2 linked regions of the Saccharomyces cerevisiae S288C genome follow. The gene in region 2 interacts genetically with the main gene of each other region. Each region holds a gene or a part of one and is shown on either strand. Other genes may lie near its edges.

The links.
Region 1: mutations in PTH2 (region 2) and RTN2 together harm fitness more than expected from each alone (negative genetic interaction), as found in Saccharomyces cerevisiae (one large-scale study listed by BioGRID).

What each region holds. Positions count from the first base shown.
Region 1 is NC_001136.10:92,472-96,236, reverse strand, and holds RTN2 (Rtn2p), read right to left. Parts: upstream 1,633-3,765; coding exon 451-1,632; downstream 1-450. Other genes in the region: ACK1 (Ack1p), read left to right, coding at 1-155; YDL204W-A (uncharacterized protein), read right to left, coding at 1,952-2,104; HEM3 (hydroxymethylbilane synthase), read left to right, coding at 2,492-3,475.
Region 2 is NC_001134.8:112,238-115,529, forward strand, and holds PTH2 (aminoacyl-tRNA hydrolase), read right to left. Parts: upstream 1,191-3,292; coding exon 564-1,190; downstream 1-563. Other genes in the region: protein phosphatase regulator SHP1, read left to right, coding at 1-471; type 2C protein phosphatase PTC3, read left to right, coding at 1,525-2,931. UniProt on the Saccharomyces cerevisiae protein: The natural substrate for this enzyme may be peptidyl-tRNAs which drop off the ribosome during protein synthesis.

The sequences.
Region 1 (3,765 bases), on a different chromosome or scaffold from region 2:
GTAAATTAGCCCGCACTGAATTTGCCTTAGGATTTTATTACGAAAAAGGTGTCGGTTGTGAAGTTGATTTGGATCTGGCCAAACAATATTATCAGAGGGCTGCAAGAATGGGATTCAGGAAGGCAGTTGATGCTCTTCGAAGTTTGACAAATTAACGAATTCGCATTTCTTTATTATGCCATAAATCAAATATTATTCAGGACATTAGTAAAATATTGTAACATTCTCCTCAAAAATGAGAGGAGAATAAAAATAACAAAAGCGAAGAAATGCGACGTCATTTACTCATTATTTTAAACTAAATAAAAAAAATATTGTAACTACTTATCGTTGTAATGATATCTTTTCTTCAAAAAAATATATAGTTGGTGATAAATATGACCTCTTTGAAAAAAAGAAAAGGAAATGAACTACTAGCTAGAAAGAAGAGAGAAAAAAAAAAAAACTAGATTATGCGTGTTGCAATTTTTGCTTTAGGCCGTGCGTGGTTTTGTGTAAGGTTTCATTATTCTTGATGGGAATCGATTGGCTTTCGGCGGGTTTAGTGGTGTGTCTAGTTGGAGCTGGAACGGTGATTGGATCTGGGATTTCCTTGCTTCCTACCAGATTGTAATCACCATCTTTTAGGTTTTGCTCCAGTTCACGCTGATGAGCTGCTAATTCTTCTTCAATATCAACTGTTCTTGGATCATATGTCTTGACATCTGGTTTACTGAAGTTTTCATGCCTGTTGTTGAAATCCTTCTCTGTTGGTATTTCCTGCTTCCCAGATTTTAAGGTGCCAATATTCTCATTCTGAGAAACTGGATATTCGGCTCGGTTATATTGAGAGGTAGAATAGCTGTCTTTGCCACTTTTGGAGGCTGACGTGTCGTTCATGTTGTCAAACTCAGAAGAGGAAAGGCCGCTCTTGTTACGTTGAGAAGTAGAAGATTTGTTTTCGTTACTGATAGAGGTTGAGTAGCTGCCTTCATCGGTTTGGGGTGGGATAATCTTGTCAATGTATGGTTCAGTCTTTTCAACCACCTTGTTGTAATTTTTGTGAAACCTATGAATAACTAGATCCTTCATCCTGTCGATAGCACGGTCAATTCTAGCCTGCTTTCTATCGTAGATTAAAGGCACAGTGTACAAAAAGATGGTGGTCATTATCAAAACAGTGTTCATAGAGAATATAGCAAATAGGCCGTGCAAGAAATAGAGGGAAACACCAATGGTAAAATTGTTTCTTGTTCTGTGTGCAAACACTAACTTTCTGATTCTGTCCTCTAACGCAGGCAGACGATCCAATTCGCGGTCGATATGAGGCTTTAAGACGCCAACAAGGTCCGGAGACTCTTGCATGCCAAACCTAGACACTACTCCTTTATCAAATAGCACCTTTGTAGAAAGCTCCACCGCAAAACTCGTGAACAACACCATGTATCCGATCTTAAGTAAAACAGAAATAACATTGACATTTCTGAGGATCAGCAAACTCACCAGAGTCGCAGCAAAGCTCGCACCCGACTTGCTAGGGTTAGTCCAGTATATCAATCCCGTCTTGTTCTGATGACCTGCTTCACCGGGAGCGTTAGCATTTCTACTGTTATTCAAATTCGCGTTCTTATTGGTAGTCGTATTCCTATTCATGTTGATGATAGTTTGTGGCAAGTTGAGACAAGCAATTGAACAAGTTATTACTACTATTGCTACATAATTGATCTGCTTTTCAATCCCTTTTATATATTTTTTTCATCAAAGTAGCAAGCTTTATCGTTTGAGGGTGGAAATAAGGGTGAACAATAAGGGGAGATTGCCTATGCGCCTAAACGTCACCGTCTAACCTTGTTCTCCTTTCAACAAAAACGCCTTGCGTTCTTATTGCTAGGCCACAATTACAAGCATCTCAAATGGGGCATTATCACACCGGTACCACCGACACATTCTGCTGCTACCCTTGTAGTTTAAGTTAACTTTGCGTCCACTTTTCGTAATTATTTTGCTCCCTGGCAGCACCGGGGGTAAAGATGTCTTTCTGGCTAATGCAGTCATCCTTACATTGTCGTTCGTACGGCAGTCCAGGATTTTTGACCATCTTTACGCAGCAATTCCCATATAACATTCCTTCTCTCCTTGTCAATTGACCCTGGGGAGCGTCTGACCAATAAGAAACCGATGAGTAAGCAATGAAGGTCTTTTTTTTGGCTACGAAAATTTCAGCAATTTTTTAAAGTGAAAAAGTAAAAAAATCAAACATAAAAAAAGAAAGAAAATGAAAAAGTAAAGGAACGCTTTATATAAACGAGGCTACTAACTATCTGTATTATTGCTACACATAGCCTGAATTCAAGGTCATTGGCAGATTGACGCTCGTGTTTGCATGGTACAGGGCTGTATTAGATTTTGAATATTCTGTTCTTCTCATCCCGTATTAATATCTAGAACAATAGAAAAAAAGAAAAGCGAAGAAAATCTAGATAAATTTGTAGTTGGTAAATACACACGTACTATGGGCCCTGAAACTCTACATATTGGTGGGAGAAAATCGAAATTGGCGGTAATACAATCCAACCATGTTTTAAAACTGATCGAAGAAAAGTATCCGGACTACGACTGCAAGGTTTTCACTTTGCAAACTCTTGGTGACCAGATTCAATTCAAACCTTTGTACTCATTTGGCGGTAAAGCTTTATGGACAAAGGAGTTGGAAGACCATCTTTACCATGACGATCCCTCAAAGAAGCTTGACTTGATCGTTCATTCTCTGAAGGACATGCCCACTTTACTACCAGAGGGTTTCGAGCTGGGGGGTATCACTAAGCGGGTCGATCCAACAGATTGTCTTGTCATGCCCTTTTACTCTGCTTATAAGTCTCTGGATGACCTTCCAGACGGGGGGATTGTGGGAACCTCATCCGTGAGAAGATCTGCTCAGCTAAAAAGAAAATACCCACATTTGAAATTTGAAAGTGTCAGAGGAAATATACAAACTAGATTACAAAAACTAGACGACCCAAAATCTCCGTACCAATGCATCATCTTGGCGTCTGCTGGGTTGATGCGTATGGGGTTGGAAAACAGAATTACGCAGCGATTCCATTCGGATACAATGTACCATGCAGTTGGACAAGGCGCCCTGGGTATAGAAATTAGAAAGGGTGACACCAAGATGATGAAGATTCTTGACGAAATTTGCGATCTAAATGCAACTATATGTTGCCTTTCGGAGCGTGCTTTGATGAGAACTTTAGAGGGGGGTTGTTCCGTTCCTATTGGTGTGGAATCTAAATACAATGAAGAGACTAAAAAATTACTATTAAAGGCCATTGTAGTTGACGTTGAAGGCACAGAAGCAGTAGAAGACGAAATTGAAATGCTAATAGAAAATGTTAAAGAAGATTCCATGGCGTGTGGTAAGATACTAGCTGAAAGAATGATTGCCGATGGCGCAAAGAAAATTCTGGATGAAATTAATTTAGACAGAATCAAATGAACACCATTAATTTGATCAGTCCAAAAACTCTATTATTACTAACTAAAGTTCCCTTTTTTTTTTTTTTTTTTTTTTTTTTCCTTATCTCCTTTATCTTTCAGTTATTTATTTCCCTCTCATTCCTCTCATATTACTTGTTTAATTTAATGACCATTTTCAAATGACCACTGCATAAATATTTTGTCAATTAGAATATGTAATTCCTACCTTTGTTTATTTTATACTATTCATACAAGCTTCGTTGTTAATATATTTATTATAGCTTGTATATAAAAAATGAAATCTTGATT
Region 2 (3,292 bases):
CAAGGGAGGGCTCCATTAAAGCTCTTAGATGTGCAATTTGGACAAGAAGTTGAAGTTAATGTATATAAAAAATTAGATGAGTCTTATAAAGCTCCGACGAGAAAACTGGGCGGTTTTTCAGGCCAGGGCCAAAGACTAGGATCTCCTATCCCGGGTGAATCGTCACCTGCGGAGGTTCCAAAGAATGAGACACCCGCTGCTCAGGAACAACCCATGCCGGACAATGAGCCAAAACAAGGCGACACCTCCATCCAAATTAGATACGCAAATGGCAAAAGAGAAGTTTTGCACTGCAATTCCACAGATACAGTAAAGTTTTTGTATGAGCATGTGACATCAAATGCGAACACTGACCCATCGAGGAATTTCACCTTGAATTATGCCTTTCCTATCAAACCAATAAGCAACGATGAGACAACATTGAAGGACGCTGATCTGCTGAACTCCGTTGTCGTGCAAAGATGGGCATGAGCATAAATATACAAAAACAGAAACGGGAAAAGACTTCAACTTAATATATAAATGCACGTATATCTATACCCGTAGTATATATCATTTGTACCTCAATACAATTTCAAATCACCTGTTATTTGATCCAATACTGCTTTTGGAGCAGGTCCTAAACCCAATACGGTGGCACTTCCCGCAGCAATCTGTGTTCTACCAGCATCATGAATAACTGCTGCATTCACCCCAAGTGATATAGCCTTCGCATACAACTCGTCCATTGTAAACTTATCTGGACATTTCAACGTTATTTTAGCCTGTCCAGCATTTAGCCATCTTTGTGTCATAATTGGGTTGTATGAAGCACGCGCGGGGTTTGTAGCAATATGTCTAAAACATGACAATGCTGCGTGACAGCATTGTGCCGCTATTTTGCCCTTTGTCATGCCAAGATCTTGACGAATCACCAATGCCATCCTAACTTCTCCAGGTATATCATTCAATGAAGTGGACTCAATATCTTCGTCCTCATCGCTCTCATCTTCGCTTTCACTTTCCTCCTCATCAGTGTCATTGTGTAGCTTTCCTTCCTTCATTTCTTTAGAACGCAGTAAAGTAGCTGAGGATTTCTTAGTTGATGATGCGTTCGACGTACCCAACTGGTAACCCACGGCAAAGGAGATTGCGGTGAAAGTAGCCCATAAAGCTATGGTGTAATTCGAAGAAACTGTCATCTTTTCCATTAAAAAGACGTTATCATGTTACTCCGCTGTCAACAAGTAATATAGCAAGAAACAATTAGCTCTTATGCTTAAGAGCTTCTAGAAGAGTAGTAATAACCTTTAAACATTATTTTCGTCAGGCGTGATATCAGCGAGTTGAAGAAAAAACAACATGGGTTGTCCCTCAAGAGAATAAACTCAAAGGAGTAAAAGGTGTTTAGAGCTTGTTGGCTCGATTGTTGCCACCGGAAGGCCCCTTTCTGTTTTTAGACTATATTCATTTTACTTTTTGAAGTTTCTATTATAGGCAGACGAAGAAGGCCAAGAAGACAAATCGAAGAAAGAGAGAGATAACATGGGTCAAATATTGTCCAATCCAATTATCGACAAAGAGCATCATTCTGGTACGGACTGTTTGACAGCGTTTGGACTATGTGCCATGCAAGGCTGGCGTATGTCCATGGAAGATGCCCATATTGTTGAGCCGAACCTTTTGGCTGAGTCTGACGAGGAACATCTCGCATTTTATGGTATATTTGACGGTCATGGTGGTTCTTCTGTAGCGGAGTTTTGTGGCTCTAAAATGATATCTATACTGAAAAAACAGGAGAGCTTCAAGAGCGGTATGTTAGAGCAGTGCTTAATAGATACCTTTTTAGCTACAGATGTTGAGTTGTTGAAAGATGAAAAATTAAAAGATGACCATAGTGGTTGTACAGCAACTGTGATATTGGTATCTCAATTGAAAAAGCTACTAATTTGCGCCAATTCCGGTGATAGTAGAACAGTTCTATCTACTGGTGGTAATAGTAAAGCAATGTCATTTGATCATAAGCCCACATTGTTAAGTGAAAAATCTCGTATTGTAGCTGCTGATGGTTTTGTTGAGATGGACCGTGTTAATGGAAATTTAGCGTTATCAAGAGCCATAGGTGATTTTGAATTCAAATCTAACACAAAATTGGGACCTCATGAGCAAGTCGTTACATGTGTTCCTGATATCATTTGTCACAATTTGAATTATGATGAGGATGAATTTGTTATTTTAGCATGTGATGGTATTTGGGATTGTTTAACTTCTCAAGAGTGTGTTGACTTGGTTCACTACGGTATAAGTCAAGGTAATATGACGTTGAGCGACATTTCATCTAGAATCGTAGATGTTTGTTGTTCACCCACAACTGAAGGCTCAGGAATTGGCTGTGATAATATGAGTATTTCCATTGTTGCTTTACTAAAGGAAAATGAATCTGAGTCACAATGGTTTGAGCGTATGAGATCAAAAAATTACAATATCCAAACGTCTTTTGTCCAAAGAAGGAAAAGTATTTTTGATTTCCATGATTTTTCGGATGATGATAACGAAGTGTTCGCAATAACCACCAAAAAATTACAAGACCGCTTGAATCGTAGTAAAGATAATGACGACATGGAAATTGATGATCTTGATACCGAATTAGGCAGCAGTGCTACTCCCTCAAAGTTATCAGGTGAGGATAGAACTGGCCCTATTGACTTGTTTTCGTTGGAGGCTCTATTAGAAGCCGGGATTCAAATAAGGCAGAGGCCCAGCTCCGACAGTGACGGCAACACTTCTTATTTCCATGGTGCTTCTTTATCAGATATGTTGGCATCTTTAAGCAATGCGGCTGCAGGAGAAACAGAACCTAATGATGCTGATGATAACGATGATAACGACGGCGAAGAAAACGGCAAGAATGAAAATGCGAAGAAGGGTTCCAAGATTGAAGAAATTGAATAATAAATATTGTCGAACCGTACTTTGCAACGAAAGAGTAGTCAAACTTTGTTATCTTTATTTGTTATTCCTCTTCTGCCGATGGATTGTTTTTTACTGGATCATCTTTGCGGCCCATATTGAGGAGATGGTGAAATTCATAAAAATCATTACGAGAGAATGATAAATTGTAACAGAATTTATAAATCCTATTCATATAGATACATCTGTTTTTCCTTACTCTGTTTTTATTTTGTTGGTAACCTTTGAATCCTTTTTGATGAAAAAAATAGAAAAAAAAAAAAAAAAAAAATGAAAGCAATATCGACTGTATGTATATGCGCACCATAATTTTCCTATTAATAGTTTAAGCATAATTAGTGTA